4 linked regions of the Schizosaccharomyces pombe genome follow. The gene in region 2 interacts genetically with the main gene of each other region. Each region holds a gene or a part of one and is shown on either strand. Other genes may lie near its edges.

Evidence for each region.
Region 1: mutations in rad57 (region 2) and raf1 together harm fitness more than expected from each alone (negative genetic interaction), as found in Schizosaccharomyces pombe (2 studies listed by BioGRID).
Region 3: mutations in rad57 (region 2) and set9 together harm fitness more than expected from each alone (negative genetic interaction), as found in Schizosaccharomyces pombe (3 studies listed by BioGRID, with this or other methods).
Region 4: mutations in rad57 (region 2) and cph1 together harm fitness more than expected from each alone (negative genetic interaction), as found in Schizosaccharomyces pombe (2 studies listed by BioGRID).

Annotation. Positions count from the first base shown.
Region 1 is NC_003421.2:97,538-106,066, forward strand, and holds raf1 (CLRC ubiquitin ligase complex WD repeat subunit Raf1/Dos1), read right to left. Parts: upstream 4,728-8,529; 5' UTR 4,635-4,727; coding exon 2,718-4,634; 3' UTR 2,179-2,717; downstream 1-2,178. Other genes in the region: ubiquinol-cytochrome-c reductase complex core protein Qcr2, read left to right, coding at 1-464; protein meu23, read right to left, coding at 1,184-1,948; rhp16 (ATP-dependent helicase), read right to left, coding at 5,148-8,039; rhp7 (DNA repair protein), read left to right, coding at 8,143-8,199, 8,248-8,529. UniProt on the Schizosaccharomyces pombe protein: Component of the Clr4 methyltransferase complex (ClrC) which contributes to the establishment of heterochromatin by specifically methylating histone H3 to form H3K9me.
Region 2 is NC_003424.3:2,120,041-2,127,021, reverse strand, and holds rad57 (DNA recombination mediator, RecA family ATPase Rad57/Rhp57), read right to left. Parts: upstream 3,993-6,981; 5' UTR 3,733-3,992; coding exon 3,666-3,732; exon of another isoform or gene 3,571-3,665; coding exon 2,573-3,570; 3' UTR 2,516-2,572; downstream 1-2,515. Other genes in the region: gih35 (ATP-dependent RNA helicase), read right to left, coding at 1-289, 326-582, 631-695, 744-821, 865-955; whi2 (phosphatase activator), read right to left, coding at 1,218-2,030; gpl1 (Gpl1-Gih35-Wdr83 complex RNA-binding subunit), read left to right, coding at 4,814-6,418; mde1 (5'-methylthioribulose-1-phosphate dehydratase), read left to right, coding at 6,738-6,859, 6,903-6,926, 6,970-6,981. UniProt on the Schizosaccharomyces pombe protein: Involved in recombination DNA repair and in the repair of gamma-ray-induced damage.
Region 3 is NC_003421.2:1,151,060-1,158,853, forward strand, and holds set9 (histone lysine H4-K20 methyltransferase Set9), read right to left. Parts: upstream 5,003-7,794; 5' UTR 4,548-5,002; coding exon 3,222-4,547; 3' UTR 2,855-3,221; downstream 1-2,854. Other genes in the region: protein Cwf20, read right to left, coding at 1-655; SPOM_SPCC4B3.13 (MatE family transporter), read right to left, coding at 1,184-2,803; protein fra3, read left to right, coding at 5,147-5,497; ipk1 (inositol 1,3,4,5,6-pentakisphosphate (IP5) kinase), read left to right, coding at 7,089-7,101, 7,158-7,794. UniProt on the Schizosaccharomyces pombe protein: Histone methyltransferase that specifically trimethylates 'Lys-20' of histone H4 to form H4K20me3.
Region 4 is NC_003424.3:794,187-801,726, reverse strand, and holds cph1 (Clr6 histone deacetylase-associated PHD protein-1 Cph1), read right to left. Parts: upstream 2,361-7,540; 5' UTR 2,178-2,360; coding exon 963-2,177; 3' UTR 746-962; downstream 1-745. Other genes in the region: ATP-dependent RNA helicase Upf1, read left to right, coding at 1-417; CCR4-Not complex subunit Mot2, read left to right, coding at 3,127-3,179, 3,230-3,409, 3,498-4,734; export adaptor Nmd3, read right to left, coding at 5,147-6,643.

The sequences.
Region 1 (8,529 bases), on a different chromosome or scaffold from region 2:
ATGCTGCCGTGAAATGGTCTCATGGAAACACTCTCCTTGCTAAGGCTGCTGGAACTGCTTCTGAATACAAAGCCACAGCTGTTGCTGATCTCACTCCTTATTCGGATGCCAGTTTGCTATCGGTCGTTATTTCTGGCAGTTGTCCAAAAGCTATTAAAGCTACTGCCTCTGAATCTTTCAAGGCCCTTAAATCATTATCTTCTAATATCCCCAATGATGTTGTTAAAAGTGGCATTGCAATGGCTAAGACTAAGTACTTGTCTGCTTTTGAACCTGTTACTTTGAACGCCATATCTGCTTCATCTTTAGTTTCTGCTTCAAAAGGATCTGATGCCTTTATTAGTGGTTTCGACAAGGTTACCCCCGCATCCATCTCTAAGGTGGTTTCATCTTTATTAGCCAAACCTGCTAGTACAGTTGCTGTGGGTAACCTTGACGTGCTCCCTTACTACGATGAGCTTTAGGATACTTCTCTACAAATCTTTTTTTTTATCGAAAATCTTTCTTTGAAAACTTTTTATACACCATAAGCTTAGGATGATGTTTTGAATTATTTTTTTTCGTAACATACTTCATTACTCAAATTCACAGTCCTGACGGATCGTCTTATGCTCTCCTTTAGGCAACAATGATTAATGTTATTTTCCAATGAATTAATACCAATAAATAATTTGGTAGTATTATTATGTATGATGACGATGTACTAATTTGTAAAGAAATTAAAAAATATATATTTATATATGCAATGCAACATTAAAATAATAGTTTCTCTCTTGAGATTTCATAAACAATAATGATAACTATCGCCATCAAGAGCGGTTAACTTATATTAACTTCAGATTTCTCATAAAACGGATTTTCGAAGACAGTATGTTATCGTCTTTATGCAAACATCATTTTTTAAAAATTAAATATGCAAGCCCATGGCATCTTATCTTAAAAATTTTACCTCACAAATCACCTAATTTGAATGCTTTGCTTTCGGTATGCTTTTTAATTCAACAATCACAAAGATTCAAGATTATTCAACATCAGGTAAACAAGAGTTATAAGTAGCTGGGTTGAACTCTTGAACGTTTCACTCCCAATAATTATATACATTTCCAATATAATAATACACGTGAATAAATAGTAAAAAAATATAAGCGATTAATTTTCGTCGAGTACTTTTCTGCCAGAATCGCTAATTAGGAAATCCAGAAAAAGGATACTCTCTGTCATACTCTGCCGATAGGCCGACCGCGCTAGCAAGTTTCTTCTTCATCCCAATAGTTTCGTTTACATGAAAAGTTACCCCATAGCCCTGTAAATATCGAGAACATTGACTCCTAGACAACCGATCTACATCTTGAACTGAAGTAATTGGAGGCAAATCAGGGTCCGGATTATTACCATTAATAAAGGGAACAGGCGAAATCACGTATGCACCCTTCCTAAGATCTCTATTTTCCGCACGAACTGAACGCATATCGAGAGTATTGACCTTATTTGTGAAATTAATCATATTTTCTTGCATGGTGTTCATGGTCCCTTGCATAGTGTTCATGGTCCCTTGCATAGTATTTATGGTTCTTTGTAAATCTGCCATACCGCTCATTAAAAAGTTGAGAGTCCTATTCTGCTCCTCGCGGTCTCTTTGGTACCAAAGTGGCGGTTGAACTTGGCTTTCTCTCTCAATTTCCAACGCGGTCCACTCATCCACTCGACGTTGAAACCTTTTTACGCGCTCATTTGTACGAATCTCCTCTTCATTCAGGTGAGTTTTGTTCTCAAGGGCCCTTCCCTCACTCTCTAATATTCTATTTCTCGCTTCTATTCTTCTTTTCTCGAATTCAACTCGAAAGTCGTTTAAAAATCTATTTCCCTCCTTTGAAGAGGATTCAGTTGGTGGAGGAATATTAAATTCATTAGAAAATTCCTCGTTCAATTCACTTTCAGTATTAGGCATAATTTATTGTTTACAAATTAATATTGTTTAGTAGTAACGCGAATAGCAAGCTGGGTGCAGCCAAGTGTAGTGGTACATGAATATGTAAACACCAAAGCTGTAAACAAAAAAGCTTCCGGTAGTTGTTCATCATTTTTTTAAATTGAAAAGGTGAGTTGATGATTAAATTATGGTTTTTGTTAACGGCATGTTTTCAAGTTAACTAATTACGTTTGCTTGAAGAGTTAATTCAACATTCCATAAAAAATCTCCATTTCTGTTAACATTAAGAGTTTCGGGTCTAAGCTAAACTTAAATTTATCTATGTTTGATATTTTAATTTAATTTGTAACACATTTTTCATCCTTTAACCGTGAAAGCTCATTTGTTTGTTACTATGTTTTGCTTTTGAGTTATCAAACCAGTCAGTTGATCATTAAAGAAACATATTAGATATTATTAAAATTTTCTTGCTGTAAACGTCAATTCAATAATCAGCTTGACTTTACCTTCACTGAGATTAAGGTTTAATTTTCCATTATCCTTTAGAATCATTGCAAAATTTTTGGCCTTCTTCAGTTCTTAAATATTTCTCGGATCGATCGCTGTCTTTAATTTTCTTGCCAGTTCACCCACGAAAAGGAATTCGATTAAATATTCATACTAGCTGAGCATTATTTCTTTTATACCTTCTCTGTATCCTAGTCGTCTAATAAAGAAAATTTTTCTTAGCGCGAATCTCCATTGACTGATCATCTTTACATATACCTTTTCGTATTTAAACCTCAATTCAGGTTAAAAGTCGATTTTCTATAATACGAAACTCTCCGAATTTATTACCATTGTCATTCCCCAAACTGTACATATTGACGTCCCCTCCAACACAACATACGGTTAGCTTTGAAGCATCCTCACTGAACCCTCCGTAAGTTATGGCTGAATTCATTTCCGTAAAATTTTGTATGAATGGATTGTTCAATCTCAAATCCCAAACCTTTACAATGCCATCACTGCCTCCGGTAACGAACAAATTCCCCTTAGGCTGCCATTGTGCCATATTTATACCTGCATCGACTTCCTCTTCATTAGCCCCGTCAAAATGTATCATTTTGGTTTTTCCATGCTTAAGCAAGCTAAGAGGTTTATCTGGTTTACGCGAATCCCAAACAAACGTCTGGTTATCTGTACCACTAGAAGTTACCAAGATTCCAGAGTTACTTATGGTGGCATGGTTAATGTCTTTTTGCGTTGTCGTAAAGTTGAGACAAACCTTATACATTCTTGTGTCTAAATAATATACTCTTCCATTGCTCAAAGTATTGCTACTTGCGACAAATCCAACTTGAGAAGGATGCATATATAAGGAGGTAAATGCTTCGTCAGCGGTGTTGAATTTTTGAACGAAGCTGGCAGTGGAAGCATCAAACAGAGCCAAACATCCTCTGTTATTAGAAGTATGAAAACTATCATATCCAATAATGACTTTGTCAGATGACCTTCCCAAAAAATTGGAAAATTCAATCAAAGATGCAGAGTACCCTTTTTCTAGAGCTTCTGGATAAATTAAATTAGCTGATGTGAGAATTTCTCCTGTTGAGTTGTCAGTGCTCAATAAATACCCATAACCATTTTTGCAAGCTACTGCAAGTAAATCGTCATCAGATAGAGCAAGCTTGTGAATATAGTCTGTGGGTGCATTAAAAATCCCACATAAATTTCCTTCCATATCCCAGACTTTCACAGCATTGTCGAATGCACCTGTATAAAGAAACAGATTACCCTTGGAAAAACACAAATCTGATATCGTAGAGTATTCCTTTTCTCCTACTTGATTAAGTTTATAATGGCTTTCCAATGACTGAATAGTTTCTGAGTGAAAATCACCAATCCATAAGTTGCCTAGTCTATTGTAAGCACCATCTTGTGCTGTGCTGCCTAAGGCAAATTTTTCGCACAATGGATTATATGCAACGCACACTGTATCCCCACTAGTTTCATTGAAATGTTTCCAAGGTTTTAAAAAGAAAACTGATTCCCCGTCCATAAGTTGATGAACTTGTTCTCTTTGGAAGTAAGATGAGCCTGCATTGTAAAAGGATTTTAAGTAATCTGGAAGTAATTTTTTATTCTTCTTGTATGTTCGTAAAATGATGGCCCCATGTTTGTCCACAGGAGACAAGCTGGGGTTATCAATTTCAAATTTCTGGCAATCTTCATATGCTCGTCCAGGAAGTTTTGGAGAAATGTGGGTCGAATAAGCATCATTGAACTGAACACTGTTTACCGGTCCAAATTTTAGTTTAGCTTCTTGTAAAATAAAGCATTCCTCTGGTGTAAAATCAACATGAATGAGTGATGGTTTATCATCGCCTGTAATGCTATTTGAAAGTAAATGAGTGTGTTTTCTCACTCTTTCACTCAAATAAGGACGTGAATTAGGTAAGAATGTCCCAGACGTTAGTAAAAGTTGCAATTCTAATCGTTTATTTACATTTGATGGAACTTTTGCAATTGAATGCTTCGATATTGATAATGACGGTTTCGGGCAAGGTAGCTCTGCGCGATAAAAAGGATCATAAATCTCAAATTCTTCCTCAAAAAATTCTTCGTTATTTGTGTCAAAGTCAACCTTGGGCAATTTAGAAGAGACGGAATGCAAATATTGCGTATCCGTTCTTCTTTTCACCCGTGGTGAACTATTAGTCATGCCATAAATAGGAAATTGTTTGAGAAATTATTGGGCTTTTTACTTTTAATCCTTCAGTGTGCAAGTTCACTAGTTTAACAGAAGTTATGGGTTGCTGAGTGAGTTTAAGGCACTGATTGATATAAAGAATTTACTAAGTCCAAAAAGTATAAAGACATTCCAAAATCGAAAATATTATATTAAAATTGAAGATATAATGATTATCTATTGAGTTACTATTATTACAAATTTATCAGTCAAAGGTAAGTTAATGACTTTACATTGAAGCGATAAAATCTTAACTATGTTTAATTTGTTTTAAAAAACTTTAACCGTTCTATTGACAACTCAATAATAAATTATATCCATTAATAGGAATCCCCAAAAAAATAAATAAACTTCCAAAACGCATATACTGACTTAGGGAATTACGGTCCAAAAAACTAGGATAACAAAAAAAATGCAAAGGGAGATATGGCAGGTATATAAAAAGGAAACGGCCAAAATTTGGGCTAATTTTAAAAAAACAAAATTCTAATTTGAGAACAAGAATTGCATATCCTCGACAGAAAGCTGGTTCAAAGCCTTTTCGTCTTGATCTATGGTTGCATGTATCATCTGAGCTTTCTTTTCTTGTAGTTCAATAATTTTGCTTTCAATGGAATTTTCAATACACAGGGTAATTACTTTTATCGGCCTTTTTTGTCCAATACGATGAATTCGATCCATTGCCTGCCACTGTACAGCTCCATTCCACCAAGGATCCATCATAAACACTTGAGATGCCTCTGTAAGGTTCAAAGCAACACCACCTGCTTTCAACGAAACTAGAAAAATGGTAATATTAATATCGTTACTGAAAGCCTCAATAGTAGCTGCTCTCGCTTTGGGGGTCATACCACCATCTAGCTTTACACAATTAAACCCGGCTTTTCGAAGTCGCCAATGAATGAGATCTAACATAGAAGTAAATTGAGAGAAAACAATCGACTTCAGTGTTCGGTCCTTCTTACGAAGTAAGTAAAGCTCCTCAACTAATGCTTCAATTTTTGTAGATGAACGCCAACTATTCATATCAATTCTATTCAAAATCGATGCATTCTTAAACTTCTCTTCAGAAAAATCTTCTAAAGCAGGGGCACTAAGATCTATGCTTAAGGGAATGAAACAACTTGGACAGTTGACATTTTCTCCATCACCAGCTGCATTGATATATTCCGTAACGCAGAGTCGACAAAATGTGTGATGGCAACGTGATTCTATAGCATCTTGAGCGACTTCGTCACAAATCTTACAGACGATATTTTCCTGATTTTCAATATCAACTGTTTTTCGTTTGCTAGCTAACACCAGGTCAGGATGATCTGCCATTTGGCGCATTCGTGTAATTAGCTGGAAAATGTTTGCATAATTATTCAAAACGACACCTTCAGCAAGATATGTATTAAATTTTCTTTTTGAATCCATATATAAAGATTGGTATACATCTTCCTCTTCTTCGTTGAATAAATCTTTCCTCACTTCAACGACTCGAGGAGGTAATCCAAGGTCATCAGCCCTCTCTAATTTTGTTCGACGTAACATAATGTGTTTTAATAAAGAATGCACCTTTTTAAAAGCTAGCTTTCCTGGACCTTCGTATCCAAACTTTTGTATTGGTTTTAGCATTTCAGCGTTAAAATAGCAAGTATGACTCATTGGTTTATGGCCGCATTCGTCGCAATTACTTCTATCGGAAAATCTCCAGTGCAGAGATTTACATTCACATTGCAAGCAATAGTAGTAAGCAAAAGGATCTGCCCGTAGGAACCGAAGAAGTGAAAATAATTCTCCAATACGGTTTTGCAAAGGTGTTCCTGAAAGACATATCTTTCTTGTCGTTCTTAAGCCACAAACAGCTCTGGCAGTGTTACAAGTCCTTGATTTGATACCATGGGCCTCATCAAGTATAATTCGGTAAAACTCCATTTGATGAAGTAATGACTTTTCTTTTACAACACCGTTTTTCCTTCTGAATCCGCTGCGTTCCTTCCTGTAAACTGATTCAATTACATTGTAACTCGTTAGTACAACATCATAGCTCGAAAGCTCTTCTCCTGAAATATCACGAGCCTGGCCATAATAAAGATATGTACTCAGTGCTTTATTGGTATGTGTATCAATCTCTTCTTTCCATTGCATAATTGCTACAACCGGAGCAACAACCAAGGTTGGCTTACCTCGAGGTTCTGAAAGCAACAACGCAATTGTTTGAATAGTCTTACCCATACCCATTTCATCGGCCAAGATTCCTCCACCAAAAGAGGAATCTTCTTGTCGTTTTAACCAATATACACCTTCTCGTTGAAAAGGGAGAAGGTTTAGGACCAACTCTTTGGGTTGCTCGATCTGTTTCACTTCACGAGGTGCTTCTTCTTCCAATTTCTCCCAAACATGTTCTAGTTCAGGATGTTGTCGAATCAGACGATAATGGGTTCTTTCATGTGATGGAATTGATTTTGCTTGTGTTCTAGAGGAAGAGGACGCGGAAGAAGAAGCCCTAGCGGATACCCTCCTTCGTTTGGACTGGTAACTTAAAGGGATTGACTCTTCATCACTTTCCGTAGAAGAACTTGGAGCAGCTTCTGGAATTTCTACTTTACTATCAAAAGTTTCATCCTCTTTGATATCAATTATGCTAGCAACTTCATCACTTTCATCATCATCAATAAATTCGGATTCATTAGATTCTTCTGGAGATGACAATGGCACAAACTTTTTTTTCAAATTCGAGGACCTTAATGAACGTTTTCTGGCACTAGAAAAACCTGTATTGGGATTTGCTTCTACATTGTCTGTGCTGCTACCGGTGTGTGTACTGGTATCAGAAATGGATAATGGGGGTGTCGAATGTTGAGATGAGGTGTTGTTTGACTGGATAATCAATTTTTTGTTTGTTGACAGAGGTTCTTCAAACTCTTTTCCGTTCCAGCGCGTTGTCTCCATATCTAACTTGTCGTCACGCTCGACTTGTTGATTTGAAGCATTCCCCTTTGAATCACCATTATCATCTAGAACAAAATGCATATTTTCTTTTCCCTTATTACTATTCGAGTTTATTTTATTACATGACGTCCCCATTTGTGAATGTAAATTGTTTTCAACCACTTCCTCATCTTCACTTTCTACAATAATGCCCGCAATGGGAGAAGATGACCATTCATCTTGATTGCCTGGTACATCATGAATGTTATTTATCTCTGAATAAGTAGTAGAAAATGGAGCCTGCCCATTACTTTGCTCATCATTATTGTCTGCTTGAAGAGACGCCTGAGTAGTATGGTTATTGCGAGTATTTTTCCAATTTATGGAATCAATTGTATCGTTTGAATTAATATCTACAGCTTCATTTTGTAATTGGTCCACTTTTAGAGTAGATATATGCATAGTAGTGGTTGGTATGAGACAAGTTGCCACGCGATCTGAAGCGATTTAATTAAACTCAACCACACTTCCACCTTATCCTCAGCATACTAAGGATTTCTTTAAAATGTCAAGTGGAAGTCGGGTGAGAGGGCCAAATTCTGCTTTAACAGAATTTTTAAGAGTATGTGATGACTCTTTCTTAGCTCGGAGTTACTAATGCATTATTCAGTCTCAAGGTATCAATGCTTCAGCATTAGGACGTGCTCGTCCTCCTCGTCAAAGCGAGGAGTCAGCAGGGCAATCGACTGGGACAGAATCAGAAGTTATTCAAACACCGACTTCTGTTGAAGAAAACAACGAAGATGAAAACTCGATGTCGACAACGACAATTGAGATACCAGTAGTGAAACGACGAAATCTACGAAATCAAAAAAAGAAGAAGAAAACGGATGAAGAAGCTGAAGACAACGAGGACACTTTTTCAATGAATTCAAGAGCTGGGTTTTCTTAT
Region 2 (6,981 bases):
TAAGGAATCTTCAATCTTTTTTATACAGTATTCTATTTCTTTTCTTCCCGAAAGAAAAACCAATATATCACCAGGCGGATAGGTTGAATTAATGTTTATAACCGTTTCGATTGCAGAATCAACGTAATTTTCTGTAGGTTTCTGCAAAAATAATGTTTCTACGGGGAATAATTTCCCTTCAATTGACATAGTGCATACTTTATCTTGTCCGAAAAACTGAGACAGTTTATTCGCGTCAACAGAAGCGCTGGAGAGCACAAGTCTAAAATCATTCCTCTTTTCTAAAATCCTTGATTTGTCAGCTATGAATAGAAAATTTAAATACCTTTTCAAAACTCCTAGTAGGAGATCTGTCGACAAAGTTCGTTCATGGACTTCGTCGAGAATGACTATTGAATATCTTTCCAGCAAAGGATCAAAAAATATTTCATTCAAAAGGATTCCATCGGTCATATATTTTATTTTTGTTTTTTCAGAAACGTTATGATCAAATTGAATGCTATATCCACACAAACTTCCAGGAGGAGAGTTCAGTTCCAAAGATACTCGTTCAGAGACGCTCTTTGCTACGAGTCTTCTGGGCTTTCAAATAAGTTAGGAGGATGATAAATAAACAAAGTTGTGACTAACCTGTGTACATCCTATAATACCGTTTTGGGACGCCCATCCAGCTTCGTATAAAAATTGAGGGATTTCTTCAAGATTATTTTTAGTTTAATAAACCATCTAATCAAAATACTTACGAGTTGTTTTACCACATCCTGTGTGGCCTAACACTATAGTAATCTGATTTTGCTCTACTGCATATAACAACTGGTTTCCTAAATGTAACGTCAGCAATGTAAGGGTAAAACAGCTACATACTGTATTTGGTGATTGGTAATAGCTTTTTCTGAATATTTAAGGGTGTATTTGTAAGAGTACTAAGCGATTGGGAAATAAACTCATTAGGCATACTCTTGCGTAGAGAGCATCAAGTAAGTGGAAGCACTTTCATGTTACCACAACTAGATTGAACGTATTGTAATATTTATAAAAAACAGTATTAACAAAATTCAAATAAAAAATTATTATTCAAAATAAATATACTACAATAATTATCACGCAATTTGAGTAAAATCTGGGAAACCTCGTAACATTGGTATCTGTTAAAAGAATGGCTGCATGCACGGCCTAACTTAGCAAAATGTTTTTTAATCTTATTTTTACTAAAACACTTAGTCTTGAGAATTTTCACGATTTCCCATAATCGTAACTTCCAACAACCACTGCTTTCTCCTCCAAACATTGATTAAAGATCCGTTTACTTTTATAACTTCGTTTATCCACCAGCACTTATTACCTGGCTGTCCCCATAGCTTCAAAATTTTACTCAAAAATTCTTCGCTTAATGAGGAGCTCTCGACTGTTGTTATGATATACGACATTAAGCTCATTAATTTTGGCTCCTTTACTCTCTTGGCCCATTTATCGTTGTAGCGAAATCCACAATGCTGTAATGCATCAACTAGCGGTCCATCACTCAGCCCTTTTCGGATTTTTTTTTTGTCTGCACTTTCAAAAACGTCGTTGTTCTTGAAAGTTTGCTCTAATAAGTCGCTCCTGATTTTTTGGTCGACGGGCTTTTTATTTTCAGAAAATAAATAGATATTGCAACATTCTGTTAAGAATAAAACGAGGGTAGTATTCGATATAGGATTAAATGCAATTTTTGAGGGATAAGCATTATTACTTTTTTTAAATAATGGTAGATAGGTGTCCAAAATCCATTTACAAATGGAAGGGTCGATTTTGTGGCATTTGAAACATGATGAGACATCACCTCCCTCATGTTTTAAAAGCAGATGAAACCCATTAGGAAATAGAAGTGCCAACACGGTAGTTGGTAATATTGGAAGTTCAACGCGATCAATGACTATTAGTTTGCCCCGGATGTTGAAATGTATTTTTTCTGGAAAAAACTTTAAATTACTTTCCAGTGTATTGGCTAAAGTGTCAACCGTATTGATTCGATCAATTGGAACTGACATTTTTGTGTTCTATTTTTGTAACGATTATGTTATAAAAGAATGTTCATTTTTTATTTACAAGATATCACCAATGCATACTTGGCTTTTGGTAAAAATGTTAGGTGCAAATTTCTAAAGGATCGCCAATAGCGGAAGCTATCGGAAAGGTCTTACAAAATCTTTTACGCGCAATAGTAAAAACAGGTAGAAAAAGCCATTCGTCGGTTAAGAGAGCTCTTTGGGCATTCTTTGTTACGTGTAAAACTTTTTATTGTATTTTTTTCCATTTCAATACCCAACTGGTATATCCAAAATTCAGTCCACTAAAGTATGTCGGATTCTAATAAAAATGCACTACCATCATAGATCAACAAAATATATATTTAATAGTGACAGAGGTAATATAAATATAAAGATAAATAAGTACACTTATATATGTAACAGTTACTCAAAGCATTACTTTTCTTTCTGCGAATGATTGATAAGCGACAGTCGATTAAACAAAGTTAGGGCAATTCATAAACCGGTTTTATTATATTATATATAAAATTTTTACAAAAATGCTAGCACGAATATATCCCAACCGATCCTATGCATATTCGTACGTCAAGCCTTGGAGAATTTGGTGAATAAACAACCCGAAAGATTCTCCCCGAATTATTGGTGGCAGAGTCGGTTTTCTTAATTAATGCTAATCTCGTACTGATGTTATTAGTCCAAACGAGACCAAGAGATGGTATTTTGGGATTTGGATCTGTGTCATCCCATCCCGAAAACCATTGCGATTGATAATCTAAACTAAACAACCCAATAGCATCATAATCTCTAGGAATTCTATCGCTAACTTGGTTAGCTATGACAACAGCAGCTTCATGTTGATGAGCTAAAGTGCGTAGAGTCATAGCTAACTTTCCCAATTGATTTCCACGTTTGGCAATATTATCTAAATCTCTAAAATGACTTTTGGATCGGTTGTAACGGAGCTCAGCTCTGTAGTTGGAGGCGACACTATCCAATATAACCAACCCAATTTTATCCCGATTGAATAAAATCGGCAGTTGATACTGAATGATATGTTCTTGAGATTCCAGATCTGGGCATAATATAGTATACACCCTATCTCCTGGATTTTTTATAATTATGTCTTTCTTATCAGCTTTGGGATACCTTTCTGGTAAATAACGCGCCAGTTCAAATAATCGTTTTGTTTCAAGACCGGACTCTGTAGAAATGAAGACAGCTGCTTTGTTCATTCCTCCTAAACTGAGAGGTAGTTGAACCATTAAACAAAGCTGCATACAAAACTGTGACTTCCCTGAACCGCTTTCACCACATATTTCAGTTAACTGTCCTACTGGTATACCTCCATGTAGAGTTTCATCCAACTTTACATCGCCAGTTGTCAAATATTTCGAAGTGACTTTGGAAGCAGAACATCTTACTGGTTGAAGAAGGAGGGATATCTGCTCAATTAACTGTAATAACTCACTTTGACTACAATGTGTGCGTCTTTCTAGCTCAGTAATATCCAGCGTTAACAAATCAACCGTGCTTACTTCTCCTAAAGCTGTCAGTAATTCCGTCTTTTAAGATCCCGGTACAAAAACCCAATATTTTTTTTTTATGTGCAAGCTTATTGAACTACTAAACGCTTACCTAATTCAAATGCTGAAGCAATTTTCTCATCAAAGTAGAAATTGTCAACATAATTCGAAATATCCATCCATATAGTAGAAAGAAAGAAGATTTTTAATTGTAAATATGATATGTATAGTTTTTACTCATAAAGATAAATGAAAATTATATCCACACCATAGAATATTCGAAAGTTGATAGTTTTATATAATGAACAGCTTTGTATCCTACGATTGAATTAAATTCTCACGATTATTTAGAAGTAATAGCACGAACTTCTAACCCACTTTTTCGCAGAAAGAAACGGTAATTTATGTACCACTATAGAAGTGGTGAGTCGAAGATGTTGTACGCGAATTACAACTGACCTGCCAATACCTCTATGTTTAGTAATTATAATCCTTATGAGAAGAAGCCCCGCAATCGACGAATATTTATATGAACATTGGTTTTTATAGAACATTAGCATAGTAACCGCTTACACTTATTTTTTTAACATCTTCAAACCATACATCTATGAAAAACCCCACGTAATGATACACATACTTGCCTAACCACCATTCCTTAATTGATAATTAAGTTATCAAGATATGTGAAATTATATAAGCAGCATATCCAAATGTGTATTGCTCATTAATTGTTAGGCATTAAAATTCGTAGTATGGTTGAGCAAACGAAGTATAAGAAATGATGTTTTACCAATCAACCGACGATAATTCGCTCAGTTTACCAGCTACCAACAAATTTCTTAGTTTATGAATGCTTGGTTCAACATGAAGTAATACTAAATAGAACTTTGTTGAGATTTCTCAATAACAGACAAAATATACATGATACATTTTTCATCTCATGAAACTTCAACTGTACAAAGAATTAGGTAATAGATAAATAACGTACCCTAACGCTCGCAGATTGCACTACGGAGGCAGCTGAAATTCGAAGCAAGGGCAACTGTTTAAAAATTGAGTATTGTAATTGCTTTTGTCAACAAATCAGAATTCTTTGATAAGTTATCTGGCTTTATTAAAAATTAAAAGTTGCTCAACATAGTATTCTTGTCGCCTCAAAAATAATGGGCTTATAGTATCCTAAAATATGCCTTAAATTTTGAATTTTGAATTTTTTTTTTTTCAGTTTAACTACGGATCACGATTACTTCTTGTTTTAAAATGTATGCCAATTCAAGAAAAAGAAGCAATGTCGATGTTCATCGGCACCCTTATGTAGTTTATGGCTCCCCTTTTGATCTTGAGCCGTCCAGAATTAATCAAGGAGTTCCTGTTTGGAAACAAGAAGCCAGGGATGAGCGTAATAGAAAGAGATTTCATGGTGCATTTACTGGTGGATTTTCTGCTGGCTATTTTAATACGGTTGGTTCAAAAGAGGGTTGGCAACCTAAATCTTGGAAAAGTTCAAGGAATGAAAACAAAAGTGTGCATGGAATGACTATTGACGATATTATGGACGAGGAAGATCGTGCTGACCAAGAGCTTAGTAAAGTTTATACTTCGAAAATAAATACGATTGATACATCTATACCAATTGATGATCCTCTACTTAGAGAATTCTCAAATAGGGACGATAGCATTGGCGAAAAAATGTTAAAAAATCTTGGATGGAACGGTCATGATTTTGTTATATCTCCATTTCAAGGGTATTATGATGACACTAAGTTAACCAACCAAGCTTATCACGGTATCGGGTATCAAGCGGACGATGTTTTTCAGCTGGAAAGAAAACCAGTTGGAATGGCAAAAAATCTGCGCGGTGGATTTGGATCAGGTGTTTTAAATGATGATGGGATAGAAGATCAAGATATATACGACCTCGGTGCTCCAAAAATGCGGTATGATAAATCTATCAACATTACAAAAAAAGTCGCTTCTCCATTTACACCCGTTAAGCATACCTTTCTGTCAAAAAAAGACAGAAGCAAAGGGAAAAGCATAATCAAATCGCAAAATTGCTCAGATGGTCTACCTCCCCTTCCAGGATTTGTAGTGGTATTTAATTTACAATCACCTTTTCAAAATAATTGGTTTCCTCCTCCTACAATACCTGAGGGTTGGGAGCCAAAACTTTTTACAAATTCTCAAGGATTTTCACAAAAAAAAGCCCAAACTTCAAATGAGCGCTTACCACTTTTTGCTGAGAAAAGTGAAACAAATTCCAACGGTGAAGCAAGTTTACCTAGTGATGTTAATCATGGTGTCAAGGAAGATGAGGGATCTTGGCAACTAATTGACATTGAGACAGCTAAAAATGCAATGTCTAGGAAAGATAATCCCTATAACGATGAGCGTGCCGGAATTTACGAGATTTTCCTTAAGGCGCACCTAATGAATATGCCACGATTACTCAGAGATATTGATTCTCGTCATTTACTAGAATTTACTCAAACAGCTTCACTATACCGACCTATGTCAAAAAATCTATCGATGCGTTTCGTAAGTTCTTTTGAAGCCTCGACTAAAAAAGAGTCGATTAATTCACATAGTGAAACTGATGATTCAATTTTGAGAAGACCTCGTACAGTTGTTACATTCATTCCCGAACGTCTTCTTTGTAAACGCTTTAATGTCGCCTTACCGTACGGTCAAGAAAAACAAAAGCGTAAAAATATTTCTTCTATTGAAAATGTACCTATTATTGCTGAAATTGAAAACAAAAGTATCGATTCAATTGATACAAGGAAGTTGAATCGACCCCAGGATATAGAAGAAAAACCAAAAGCTCCCCAAACTCTTTTCAGTGCAATATTTGGGGATGACTGAATAAAAAAATTATTAATTGATTTCTATTGTACTTTATTTTCATTAGGTTAATAGACTGTAATAAACTTTTTGTTTTAAGCAAAAACTTAGTACTTCCTATTTATTCAAGTGCCATGACACAATGTTTAATAATTTCATAAAAAAAAATAATAATTATCAAGATAGCTATTATACACATCAATTCTTTACTTCACTTTGTTTGCTTAATGTCGCGTAGATTAAACTCACAGTTACTTTTGCTACTTAAAAATTTTTAAACGTTAATGAAACGTGACCCTTTTCAAAATTTTTCATCAAGATAATTATCATCATAGTAATAATGGATGATTTTCTAAAGAAAGACTTAGGATGTCTTCGTTCTGGCGATTTGAAAAAATGTGGTGAATTAATTTGCGAAATCTGTCGAGATCTGTATACGTCGGGCTGGGTTACAGGAACTGGGTAATTACTAATTTGAATTTAATATAACTAATAAAAGAATCAGAGGAGGAATTACCATTCGCTCTGGGTACAAAGCATTATTAAAGCGTCAAATATTAACTTTCATGTAGAGATGCCATTGT
Region 3 (7,794 bases), on a different chromosome or scaffold from region 2:
TTCGGTGGCGTCCAATTTCAATGTAATCTTCATTGATAATGTTTATGTCCTCTGCATTTGAATGTACTGAGTGATTAGCAATAGAAATGAAATCGTTCTCGGGTTGATTCCTCAATTTCGGAGGATTTGCTCTAGCTTTAGGTTTTATCAAAATTGGTTGGTAAGGTTTCTGATCGGAATCTACTAAAGAGGCTTGCTTTGACTCTGATCCTACGATATTAAATAACGAAACGTTACCAGACTTTTCTGAATACGTTGATTTCTTGACAGTTTCGGAGGATCCAGTAGAGGTTAAATCGCTTACAGAGTTATTAGGTAATAAATAGTTTTCATTTAAATCAAGGTCCGATCTTTTAGATGACTTTGGAGCTAATTCAGCTTGATTTTTTGGGGCAGGCAAAAGTTCAAGTAAATCATTAGATTTAAATCGTTCATTAGAGATAACATCAGATTCATTAAAAGTTTTATCATTAAAAGAAGATTTCTGTAAATCAACTTGCCGTTTCAGGCGTTTAGGTGACTTTTTAGTGCTGTCAACCGACAATTTTCTGCGCGCATGCTGAAACAAAGTAGGATCGAAACTTTTAGAAGCTAATGGTGTTTCTTCTTCAATATCGCTTTCGGATTCTGATCGAGGATATGAAACCAGAGACATATTTTATTAACTTTTGATATTAAGTCGTTTAATAATTCTGAGCGAGCGATTTGTACTCGGTAACTATTCTCACTGCGAACAGAATTATTTATGGCAATTAATATACTCGCATCTGCAAGATGATTTACATATTTATTCAAACTTAAATTAATTCTTTAAGTAAGTCTTAAAAAGAAATAATATTTAATTGAATGCTACCGCCCAACGTTGCTAGCTAGCATATGTGGTATTTTATATATTAATCACCCAAAAAGATTCCAAATTACCATTAATTTAATTTACTTTTATAAGCTTCATAAATATGAGAGTTTAAAGCACTGCAATTTTCGTAAACTTAATTTTTAGGATAGGCCAAAACATGGCCAAATCTTGAAGACTGGAAAAAGTACCGACTCGAATACTTTTATCAATCAACTGTTAGTAGTCGTAACCATGGTATCATAAACCGAACATATCTCTTCAAATATATCAATTTATGACAAACCACAATACATATTTAAATAATCATTAACTTGTCCGTATCAACTTTTAAGCCTCATCAAACTGACGATTAGCAAGTTCAACTAAATGGTCCCAATTGACATGCAATGAGCACCAAGTTTCTACTCCAGCAATAATTAGAATTGCAGCTCCAATTCCAATCCATAAACCGTACAGCCCCCAATCTAGCTTGAAGCAAAGGATTATGGCAACAGGCAAACCCAATAAATAATATGCGATGAAATTTACTACCCCACCAATCCTTTGTCTTCCTTGTCCCCGAAGAAGGCCTCCAGCTACACATTGTGTATTATCGGCAATATTAATGAGTGCAACAAGGGGAATGATAGTTGCAACCAATGCGACGACATCTTTATCAGACGTAAAAATGTAAGTCCATGTGTTGCGAGTTAAAAAAAGGATTACAGCAATGATAACACCAATTGCAGCACCTAAATTGATAGAAACGTGCGTAGCTAGCTTAGCGAGTTTCGTATTTCCAGCACCAATTAAATTTCCTACTCTTGTGGCAGCTGCAGCAGCGACACCGAAAGCCAAATTATAAGAAAGGGTCGAGGTAGTAGACAAAACAGACATAGAGGCTAATTCAGTGGTACCCAACACGCCCGATGCGAAAGTAACGAGTTCAAAAGCCCAGTACTCACTGCAAATCATAATTACACCAGGAACAGCCAATCGACATAACGGGCCCCAATTTTTTAATGCTTCTCTACTAAAACCTCCCCATGCTTGTCGTCCGTTTACCTTCATAATATAGATAATTAGAACAGCACAAGCACTCCATAGCGTTAATGCTACAGCGACCGGTGCACCTAGAAAACCGAAACCAACCCAGGGACTCCACACAAAAAGGTAATTAAGAAAAATATTAATAGGTACAACAATTGCTAAAATGTATGTTACAGGATGAAATATACCTTGCACCTGAAGGAAACGTTTTAGTGCTTCAAATAATGCGTATGCCGGACTAGCCAACATCATTACTCGCATATACTTTGCCGCAAACATACAAGTAAGAGGATCCTGTCTAAGGAATAAAAGTATGCCCTCTATTTTCCACCATATCAAGAAAATAGGGAATTGTATCAACAACAATATGGCCAGAATCCTCTGTAAATGTAAACCCACCATTTCGTAATTTCCAGATCCGAAACTTTGAGTTCCAACGGTATCCAAAGCAGATACAATCCCCTGATAAATAGCAAAAGCCGTAATTGTGGCAGTCATGTTAGACAGACTTGCAGCCGCAAGCTCTGTTTTACCCAAGTGGCCCAAAGAGAAAACAGTAGTAACCACCTCACCATACTGAAGTAAAGACGTTAATACAACAGGGGTTGCGAATTTAATAAGTAATGTTAATTCTTTCCACCATGCCTTGCTATTAAAGTCTTCTTGTACTGAAAGGCCACTCGCAATAGATTCGTTTTCTTCTGTTTCCTCTAAAGCGCCATATGATACATCAGTCGCAGGTCTTTGTACCCTAGGTGTAGGCTTTCTTAAGGAAGTAGTGGGTCTTTCTTGTGGAATAGGTGAAACTTCCGAAGCTGCGGTGTCAAGAAATTGGGGTCTTGACAAACCGTAAACAAGACTCGATCTTCTTCGTTTAGGCTTATAAGATCCTAATAAAGGATCATTTTCCCCTTCCATTATGGATATGTCTGATAAAGTTAAAGGAAAAGGGGGTCAAGTTTAAAAAACTTGTGGATGCTAGTAAAGTTTGTGAGGCCAACCGGGCACAGCTTATATAGTGACATATTACACAACCAAAATTTCCCTCAGTTATAAAAACGTAGTATATTAAAACAAGTCAATACATTGAACGTTAATTTATTGAATTTAAAAGCATTCAAATATTTAGTTAATAGAGGTGGTGAATCCCATGAAAAAATCAACAATAGATTGAATTAGCGAACGGAATGATTCAAATGTACATTGTTCACCTTCGGATATACCCTGAATAGTGCAAGATTTTAGTTTTTTTTTTTTAAATAAATGCTTTAAAGTCCAACTAACAATGACCTAAATTAACCAAAATTTCCAATCTTAATATAAATAGTCTAGTCAACTAACTTTGATAATCAACAGCTTTTTTGTGTCGCAGAGACATACTATGCGAGCTGGTAACTAAGTTCCTTTTTGTATTAATTTCCTTTTCTTTCTCTAGTTTCAATTCACGATTAACTTTATGTCTACAAGGCCAAGGTAATGAAAAGAGTTTAGAATGTCTAATACATTTCGGACAAAATGCACTCGAATTTTGAATGTCTTCATTAATAAATGTCTGGCTACAGTTTGAGCATTGGTAAACCTTTCTTTTTCCATGTCTTTTTTTCCATAGATCTTCACGAAATTTTCGATAATCATCCACATTCAGTAACGGACTATGGTTCGTTATGGCCATCTCAGACAAAAGCCTTTTTTCTCGAGACCACACCCTTTTTTTGTGCCTTGGTATAAATAGTGAAAACTCCTCATCCAAATCAGAACTGGACGCATCACTCAGTTCACCACCTGAATCCCAAATATTCAAGAAGCTACGATCTTCCTCGGAAATCACGTAACGATTTGACTGCGGCAAAGAAGACAGATCGGAAACATCAGAACTACTCTTGGAAGAACAACTTGTTGAAGTAGCACTAGTATGGAAAAGCTTTTTAAAACCATTGATGCCCATTCGTTCACATGAGACACAAAGGCATTCACAATTTTCAAGGCCAAAGTAATTAGAAGAATAAAAGGTAGTAATTTCTTCACCTGGTTTTATGTCTCTTACACAGCGCAGCCAAATGCGCTTACCAGAAGTGTTAAATCGACAGTTAGCATTGCAGTCATGATTAACGAATCGTGCAGGGCCCAAAAATAGACACATCGAATCTAAGCGGCTTGAATGAAGGATGCTAAAGTCTTTTCCAATTCCTATATTCCGCTCTTCTTTAGGAGATAACTTAATAATTGTTCCACAGAGGTCTGTAATATCTTCTCCAGCATTAATTGATTCACGCGCTATTACGCAAGCTTCAGGCTTTGAGGAAGAAAAGTATTGGTTTGTTGAACAAATTTCAAATTTGCATGATGGTAGATATAATGAGAGGTAGTACTTCAGATGTCGAGTAAATGCTAGTAAAGAAGTGCTTGACAATCTCCGCAACAATGGATCAAGTTCACGAAATTGCAGAATATTTTTTGCCGCTTGGTCAAGGTCTGTTTGCTCTATAATATATTTGGTTATAATATTTATAATAGAACAGCTTTCCATTCGCTCAATTGATCGATCCACTAATTTTCGTACTTTATGAATTTGGGACCAATAAAACACCTTGTCAACTAGCAAACAAGTACAAACATCGTCAAAAAGAGAAAACGTTTCAAGATGAGTATTCGTCTGGCGCATTATGCATTTTCATAGGCGTTAGGCAGGTATCAAAATGTCATGAAACATTCAATGTTAAAAGTACCTTTCCAGTTGAACAACGATGAGTAATCTTGATGTATAAATTATAGGTTTATATGAGTTTGCTCAGAAAATAAAGGTTAGGAACTCGATAGTTTATCCAAATATGTAATATATTTCTGCGTTGGCAAATACAAAAATGTTTTTGAACACAACAATTCAACACAATCACTTATTAGGAAATCGACTAATTAGCGAAATTTAATTATTCTCGTTTTAAATAAAAGAATCCACGAAAGTCTGAACGTTGTAATTAAATATACACCAAGCTCGGACGGTCCCCTTAAAAGTTTTCACAGTTTTCTAGTTATTATATCTTTGTAAGTTATACTAATAAAGAGCGACTTTGCTTCGAATGAAATCCACCTAGACAAATGGGTCGTAGAAATAGCAGTAGGTTGGACCGGGACTGATGAAGTTAACTAAACTATACTAGCAACCCAATAGGCGAATGCAGATACAAAAAACTTCCTAAATCCCGTTTTATCATTATTGAGATACCAGTTTAATTTACTTCCTTCTAATATTCAAGTTTAAATATGAAGTTAGCCATCGGTAGGCTTTTAAGCCCATTATTTTTGAAAAATCCTCAGAAACCCTTGATCATTACTAAACGATTTTATTCGACACCCGGAGAACGAAGGATAAAGGACATACTCACTGAGAAGCTTTCACCTAGTTCTTTGAGAGTTATCGACGTTTCTGGAGGATGTGGCAGCATGTATCAAGTTGCAATTAAAAGCAAAGCCTTCCAAGGGAAGAACACTTTGGCGCAGCACCGTCTAGTCAATTCTATCCTCAAAGAAGAAATCAGAAATATGCACGGACTGAATTTGTCTACCGAAGTCGAAGACGATATATCTGCCGGCGGATCGACTACAAGTTCATGAGATTTGTTTACAAAGACCTCTCTGCCGCTACGATTTTACTGTTTAAGAACATAGTTGTCTGACATTTATTTTCAAATTAGATATGAAGCTCACGGCTTTTATTTATTTCAACGTTTTCCTAAAAACCTTGGCTTCTCGTTCATACAATGTAACATAAAACTTTCCTTTTTTGTTCTCAGTTAATACATCTGTTATTTTCGAATATTATTATATTATGCCTTCGATATGATTTTTGCGCTATAGACTTCTAAGTGTGTTTTCTAGAATTTAATATTCAAAAGGTAACGGCCGGGGAAAACATTGATGTGTATTTGGAGAAAAAAAACTTTTTCCGCAAGTCGTTGAGTCCGTAATTACCATTCCTGCTAATGTTGCTATCTTTACTACACTTAATGTGAGTCAACATTCTCTTCCGAAATTAAATTTCCAAAAGATAGACTCCTTTCGACTAATGTATAAAACATATTGATTTTAATGTTGATCCGTCGATGGAAAATTTCTCAACAGTCACTGATCTCTGAAACGTTCTCATTCTCACTCATAATACAACGCTATTTTTCAAACAAGTTACAGATATCGGCTTCTTTTTAGATGATTTATTCAACAAACCAATGCAACACCATATGGCTAATTCTTTTCTGAACCTTTCGGTTTGCGAAGTCATCAATCTCGACCAGCCTCGGATTTTTTGGTCAGCGATTTTAGCATGATAACTTTAAAATTGTTAAAATGACTTTCTTAGAAAATTATGATATAGGCGCATCGCTTTTTATCGCCTAACGGATCGGAATTATTTCTCGCACCGGCGATTTGAACTAGCTGAAGAATTTGCCAAACATAAGCGGAAAAACTCGATTTGGTACCAAACTTCACATTTTCAAATCGCCCGGTTAGTTAGTTTGGCCATCTTGCGAGTATATAAAGTTATCAAATCATGTCGCAATTTCAAGACTTGTATCACCAGAACGCACTACCACCTGGCAGACACATATTTTGTGCAGCTATTTCAAACTACTAGTAACTTTTACTATACATACTCTGCAACACAAATCAATTAATTAGCTAATGAATTCGCATTTCCAACTTCAACTCTTACTACTATAGTCGCAATTGTTCTTTTCTTGAGTTTCGTAAATACGGATTACGAGATTCATAAATAGGATCAGTAAGTGAAAGCTGACCTAACATCAGTCATTTGTTATTTTCACCATTAATCAACGCCTCGAAAGGGGTTATTTTTTTCGAATTGGAGTTGGAATTCTCTGTGGATGCTCAAAGCACCTGCTCTTTAACTTATTTTTACATTTAATACCATAATACGAGAACCTCTGATTTCCTTTGGGAATATCCCCAAGATTTACCTTCCCTGTCAAACCGCCAAATCCTTGCTGAGCATCAAAAATTCCCGCCTTATTAGACTAGAAAATTATCCTAGAGCTTCTTGTTTCAATTCACATTTACTTACTTACTCATCAGCCAGTTGGTTATATTTTCCTTCTCTTACAACTATTTCGTTCAGAATTTTGGTCTATTCTCATTTTCTACCCTTCTTCTTTTCTTTTTTGCATCCTATTTATTCTATTAATTTGAAATGCCTCTAAAAAGTATGTCTTCTTACTTCCTTTGAATTTGTATAGTGTGCTAATTTAATTTACAAAAGATTATACAAAGACTACGTCTAAAAAAGAACCTAAACAATTAGATATTGCTGCTTCTGATCAACAAATTGAGCAGTGGAGTGATCAGATCCACAAATTAGATAAAGCGATTCGTTCTACAATCGATAACTCTCGACTCTTCTATGATGCTTGGAGATGCATGGTTTGTATAGCTCCCTCCGTCACTGCCTCTTGGATTTCTTTGTACAGACAGTTACCTCCTGAAAAACAACCTGCTGCTTCTGTCGGAACATTGGTCGATTGGAACAAGGCCTTGGAACGTCAACGTCGTGAAGTCTTGCTTGCCCTGCAAAATTTCCATGTCATAGTTATTGCTCCTTGCAAGGAGGTCAAAGGCTATGTAAAGAAGGCAGTTGAAATGATTAAAAGAAGAGATAAAAAAGTAAAAGAACTTGAAAAAATTCAAAAAGAATTATTGGTTGTTTACGAATTGCCTGATCCTGAAACCAAAAAAAGTAAAATTAAAGCATTACAAAGCCAGCTTGTCCGTGTCAATGGTGAATTGGATGACCTTCAGAAGCATTTAACTTTGTCCTTCCCAACTCTTATTGCAAAAAGTCGTGTTTTTTTTGGACAACTTATGAAGCATTTTTACTGCTTGCAACTTCAAATGTTTCG
Region 4 (7,540 bases), 1.3 Mb from region 2:
AACGTTGCATTGACTCGAGCAAAGTATGGTGTAATTGTTCTCGGTAATCCAAAAGTCCTTGCTAAACATGCTTTATGGTATCATTTTGTCCTCCATTGCAAGGAAAAAGGATATTTAGTTGAAGGCACTTTGAACAGCTTACAAAAGTTTTCCTTAACCCTTACTCCTCCTCAGAAACCTCAAAAATTTAAAAGAGACCTCAATGTACAAAGATCACTATCTCCTATACAGAATGCCGGTTCTGCCATGTTACCTTCGTTTTCTAATCTTCCGAACTTATACTCTTCCTCGTATCTTGAAGAATGGAATGTCTTTGCTCAATACAAACGAAGAGAAAGCAACGCTACCGACTTTGAAGACTTTAGAAGTCAGGTTGGTGATGATGAAAGCAAGTTCGACGAACCTACTAGGTTCTAGTTAATAAGTATTTGCTTACTTGTAATTACGAATGCCAACATATCTTTTATTTGTTGATATTTTTGGTGTTCAAGTTTTATGGACCGTTTGGTCTGTAAGCGTTTTAAACCATTGATATGGCTGTTAAATAGACTTTAGTAATAGAACCTTTCCTTATCACTTTCTTTTATTTTATTCCTCTTTGTCTAGTAAATGCATCTTACTCATATATACTTATATATACTTATATATACTTATATATACTCACACGGTACAATACGCGTATAAAATTTAAGTATTGAGAAGTTGTTAGTATAAAATAGAACTTTTGCCCTATTAGGAAGGATTTGCAATGATTAATTGCATAACGAAAATTTTTTAAAAGCCTTAATGGAGAAAAGTAATGTAAAATAAGCCAATTACAACAGATAGCCAGTTCTAAGAGGTTTTATAAATACAACATTAGCAAAAAAATAACAGAAAACAACCTTTTCTGACGATTTGAACACGACAGATTAGATTAACGTAGTCTGATTTTATACAAAATGTAAAAATATCGTAAAAATTCAAGTGCGTGCCTTATTGAATAAAGTGCGTAGTGCAATAGGTAGGTTTGGGTGCGTTCTCGCAGGAAGTAGTGCGCTTTTTACGTCTGGAGGAATAACCTCTAACTCTCGTTTTTTCCTTTCATTATTAAACTTTTTAGCTTCTATGCCAATCGCGTACAAAAAATCTTTGATGAGACCGTCTTCTGAAACTTTGTAGAGACAACTCACGGGTAATCTTGGGAAATAGAGAAGTTCATCACTTGGAAACTCTCCCATAAGAAATTGCCATCCTGAAATCATGACTTTAGGATTAAGAGTATTAGAAGTTGTATCCAACACCAAGGGCGTCCTTATCACCACGGCGTTTTTTGGTACTCTCATACCTTTTTTTCCAATGGAGTCATGAGAGCATTTTTTAGCATGCTCTTTACAATTTTTATGATAGAAGGTGTCACACAGCTGGCAACCATAGACCCAACAAGCACCCATTGATGGCTTAGAGCAATAACCACAGTAAGCTAGATTAGTGATAGAGGAGCCAGTCGGCAAAGCAGAAAACTCGTCAGTATCCATTTCTCCTTCAGTTTCCTTATAAGCACCTGTATCCCCACGAGATATTCCATGGAAATAATGCACAAGGTCGTCGGGCAATCGGTACTGCGAGGGATTCTGAGAATCAATCCAATCGTAAAGCTGGGACCATATACTAAGAGGGTGCTTAGGAGGGTGATGCGATTTGATTGAGCAAGTCACACAAAACCAAGATCCTTCTGGAATATTTTCAGGAGTCAAGGGAGGTTCCAAGCATGAAAGATGGAAACTGCAAGGACATCCCTCGCAACAAATAAAAAGACCTCTTCCTCCGCATGCACTACAATAGTCGACGTTGCGTATAGTCGCTTTTCGTCTCCGTCGCTTTACAGGAGTTTGTTGAGATTCGGTTTCGAGATGACTTTTTAGGGAACTACCCCGGCTTTTTTGAATAGGTGCTTTATTTGGAGATTTATTCGAATAACTAGCTTTTTGTTTTTTCACTGGAGAACTTATATCCATCTCTTTGTCTTGGCTAATTGGCAAGACATTTACATGGTCAGTTGAAGAGTGAGTTGATGATGTTAAAGAATTATTTTTAAAATTAGAAGGGGGACCTTCATTTACGAAAGAGTCGCCATGACTATTATTAGAAATTGAAGGTACTGTAGGTTGAGATGAATTGTTTATAGAGGATGCCATTAGATACTTCCCATGCTATGAGCAAAGCAACATGTAATACGCGACGGTTAGCACTTAGAAATATCAATACTATCCTTAATGTTTTAAGGAATATTAAAGGTAAAATTAATGGTTATCGTAAAAAAGAACAATGGTCGAGGTTGTAAGTATATTATAGTGAAGCAACGCTGTTATGAAGATGCTAAGTTACAACAAGTCTTTGAACGCCAAACGTCGTTGCAATTAGACTTAGAAAACTACTTAAAGATATCTGATTTTCGAGAGGAGCATTTAGTATAAATGATTATCATAAGAATAAATTCCCTTCTATATGTAAAATATTTGAACATTTTGTTAAAAACTATTATCCATTTGATGGAACATGGAGCGTAAATTAAGTAGAGAAGCACTTTATGCCTCTTATTATGTTGTTCATCGTTTTTTCGTCAATTCAATATATTCACTAATTACTTAGAAGATGAAATAACTAAAGAATTTGACCACAACGTGAAAAAGTTGTATATATAATACATTCGTTTACAAACGTTTACTGCAATTAATTATCAAGATGAAATTATAGACGGTGAAACTTTTAAGGGTACTTTTTGTTGTTCAAACACAATTCCAAAAACCTTTGGAATAAGAATTTTCTCAAATTTCTTAATTCATGTCTATTAATTGCTATTTTTCGTGTGGTATATACTGTTCAAATCCAACCTCTCACCTAGTCATTGCCTCCTTCTTTTACACTAAGTTGTAAGTAAACTTATAACCAACCACAACTCGGTTTGCCCTTTAAAAAATATTTGTTTGAAGTCTAATGAATATTAAGGGAATTAACTAAATTAAATTAAAATCAAAGATTTGATTTAAGATATTTGAAGACTTCCTCTGTATTGTATAACGAGCGACCTTAAACAGTATCGATTTGGAGAGCACTGTGACGGAGATTTGACATATTTCACACAAAATGTTAAAAACGCAAGAGATATATTCTTCAGAAGATGAGGATGACATGTGTTGGTATGTTTTACTAGCCGATTAGTATCAAAATTAACTGACAATTGCAACAGTCCTCTATGTATGGAAGAAATTGATATCTCTGATAAAAACTTCAAACCATGCCAATGCGGATACAGAGTTTGTAGATTTTGCTGGCACCATATCAAAGAAGATCTAAATGGCCGTTGTCCTGCATGTCGCCGTCTGTACACTGAAGAAAATGTTCAATGGCGGCCTGTCACGGCAGAGGAGTATGTAATTCAGATTATAGAATTCTTGTTTAAGCATAATCTTGTTTAAATTCACTTTTATTTTTAAACATGTCGCTAATGTTTTTAGATGGAAGATGGACTTACATCGAAAAAACGAGAGGAAGAAACGCGAGAAAGAGAGGAAGGAAGTCGAGCTTTCAAACAGGAAGCATCTTGCAAATATTCGTGTTGTACAAAAGAACCTTGCCTATGTAAACGGCCTTTCTCCCAAAGTTGCAAATGAGGAGAATATCAACGTTCTGAAGGGACCTGAATACTTTGGTCAATACGGAAAGATTATTAAAATTGCAATAAATAAGAAGGCTGCTGCAAATTCTGCAAATGGTCATGTTGGAGTTTATATTACATACCAAAGAAAAGAAGATGCTGCACGAGCGATTGCTGCAATTGATGGCAGCGTAAGTGATGGGCGACATCTTCGCGCATCTTATGGTACCACTAAATATTGCACTTCTTATTTACGGAATCAGCAATGCCCCAATCCTTCTTGCATGTATTTACATGAACCCGGTGACGAGGTGGATAGTTATACTAAAGAAGACTTGGCATCTCTTCAACATACCCGTCCTCTTTCCACTAAACCTAATGTGGTAAATGGTGCTACTCATTCTCCTTCTCCTTCTCTTCCATTCAAAACACCTCTACTTCCTGTTACGAAAACACCGTTAGAAGAGGCTAATAGTAGTCCAGCTGCACAAAATCAGCATATTACAACAGTTGATCATGTTCATCCACAAGTGTCAATGACACCTTCCTTATCCACTAATAACACTGCTACCAGCGTTCCTGCCCCTTATTCTTCTGCTGCTTCTGTAAACGTCGTTCCTGGACATGCAACAACTATTCTTCATCACGAAGAGAGTTCTGCTCTTCCACCAACTGCTGCTTGGGCAAAATTATCTCCAAGCGTATTACAAGAACGATTACGTGCCGCTGTTAATCAGCAACCTTTAGATGCACTGAAATCCTCATCAACCCAGACTTCAATACCTAAAATCCAAAAACTGAAAGCTGCGAAATTACCCTCGGAAGAAGAAAACACTACAAAGTGGCTTAACAAAGCAATTAATGACTTGGTTTCATCGTTGAGTAAAATCAATTTTAGCACGGAAGGAACTGAATTTGATAAAAAGCAAATCGAAATGATTCAGAATCTTCCTCCGTTGTTTGTATTCAACGCGCGTTCTGTTATTGACAAGGAGGTTGTCCCTGAACAGGAAAAAAGCGCCGAGAATCAACCTCCTACTTCTCTAGGAATTAATAACGGCAACCCTGTAATGCCTCCTCCTGGTTTCCAAAGTTAGTCTTCTTTTTCATTTAAGTTTTGTAGTATTTACATAAATATTATTAAAAAATTTTAAAGATAAATTCTCTATGGGTTCCTCATATAGTAGATTGACTAAAAATGGTAAAAAAAGCCTATTCTTTACTTATAATTTTACCACCTCATACATAGCACATACTGATCTAGTTATCTTAGTAAGTCATATCATCTTACGAAAGTTTTATTTACTTTTAAAAGCCATTTAAAGTCGATTTGTCCTCAACTCATTAAAACGAATCACTAATTTCTAAAAAAAATGTGGAAGAAAGCTTTGTTTAAATAAAACTTCTAAAATTAAAGTACGTGAATAACCAATCCCATCTGATAACCCAATCCAAAACGGTTCAAGAACAAAATAAAAACTAAAAAAGGTTTGGTAACCTAAAGCATTTTTAAATATGCATTGCCTCAACGTCATCTAACAACTCATCGACGCTTATTTGAGGAATGTCTTCATCAACCTCATCCTCCTCATCCATATCAGTATCTGCAACGGCAATAGCCTTAACTGGTGCTTTGTATAAGTTGACGCCTTGGCGAAGCTCAGGATCCTCCTCCAAGTTCTGCAAGAATAACTCATAATCACGTTCTTGACGTTCAATGTCTTGTTTCTTGACATCCTCGGCTTTTTGCATTCCGATAGTTTTGAGACGCCAATTCCGATTCTTCTTTTTCGTTTGAGGATAAGTTTTCTTAACAATTACAACTTCCGGAATAGAATCTTCACGAAGAGTATCATATACTTCATTGTTAAAATTGGTAACAGCTAAATGATACGCAAGGACGGTATTGCCCGCATTTAGAATACCACCAAGATGGGTGCGTGTTAAGTGCGTTGACCCATCGGATGATTTAATCAATTCCACATCGGCGAGGGCATACTTTCCATTTGTTGGGCCTAATAAATCGACATCGGCAACAATGAACTCAGTAAGTTCGGGAATATCTGCAAGTGCAGGGAACGGGGTACGCCAATAAATTGAGGGAAGCATATCACAGGTTTGTAAAGTAAGCGGATCAAGAAAGCGGATCGTAGGTCCGACTTTTGTACATACCACAAGTTGAGCAATGTTCCCATGGGCTTTTGCTACCGTTTTTGGTAAACATACAAGATCGTCTTTGCAGATAGGAACAATTTCAATTGAATAAGTAAATTTATAATTTGCGGTATTGGATTTAAAATCTTCGCTAATGAGCTCTTCACTGCCCTTGTAGCGAATAGGAACAACAGCACTTAAAAATTCAACCATTTTAATCGCATGTGCTCTCTGGCCAAAGTAAAAATCAATTCCGTCTTTAGTTTCTTTAATATTTACAGTGTTCATGTGAGCTTTATGCTTTAAAATAATCTGCTCCAAATACAAAAACGTTCTCTTATGTAACACTTTTTGACGAACCTGACAAACTGCTTTCCATATATGTGGAGTGTAAGTTCTAGCACAATCAGGACATTGTGTATTATTAACATAGAATTCAACTTGAAAACTTTGCTGCAAGATGGTGTTTGTAAAGGCTTCTTTCTGTACCGTTAATTTGACTTTAATTCGTCGGGAATGTGGTTCGGTCCAGATAAAATTGGCATCTACAAGGCGTACTTGATTCAAGCCTCGAAGCTTTTTTAAGCAAATAGCCATCAATTCTCTAGATTCCAATGGTGCAATCATCCAGTTATTAGGTGGTTGCATGTATCGTTCACATTCACGACAATGGTTAACTGTGCTTTCCCGTGGAATACCACTAGTGATGTCCGTTGTCATTTTTATACAATCCATACACATAGCAGCCGCATTAGGAGGTGTTGGAACTCCACATTCACAACACAAGATTGTTGAAGCAATAGGCTCTGAGGGTTGAAAAGCAACCCCCATACTTCCACTGTCCATATCCATTATTTTTACTGAAAACCCTTAATGCAAGGCCAATATATGGGAGTTTCAATTAACAATTGTTGGCACTGAATTGGAAGAAGATAACTTCAAATGTACAGTCTTAAGGAAAGTAATTTTTTTCCCTACTGTAATTAAATTCGCAGTAAATCTTTAACGAGATTTTTTCATTTTCTGCTAAAGCACCTTATTTTATAAGGGGCACATAGTTATTAGTAGAGCTATGAGGAATCGGTAAAATGCTTTTAAAAATCCAAAAGACTATGCCGAGTGTTCCTCGTGACTTAGATCTACTGAAAATGATGCTAGTATGCTTACCACAAATAATGAAGCTAGCTACAAAAATATCGGAAAATACTAAATAGTATTATAACTATATTAAGATTGAACTTTCAACTGATCCAAGGAAACGTGAGTTTCTTAGTTTTATAGCTAGTTTACACAGCAAAGCAACTTATGAGTCTTACGCTAATTTCTAAAAATAATCATAGCATCAGATTATAGAAAATATCGAACAGTGAAAGTTATGTATCATACTATGCATAGTATATATTGCTGAAGCCATGGCCAAAACAATTTTAATTATCAAAACGATTTTATAATATTAGAAGTAATCCCACGTTTGTCATTGTTGTATCATATGGTTGTATCTTAAAAACTTTTGTATTTCATTTAGGAAAACAAATATCGGATGTTTTTGTATATGTTTAACTAAATTAAGTAGTCATTTTATTGAGAATAGTCTAGAAAGTAAGCCAAGGCATTTATTATTCTGCTATAATTGGAAAAAATGTTTTTTATTAAAAAAGCAAGTATCATATACTTCGAAAACTTCTCATTATAGTTAAAATTTTAGACAACAGGTTTGGAAAATAAACATAAATTTAACATTTGTAAAAT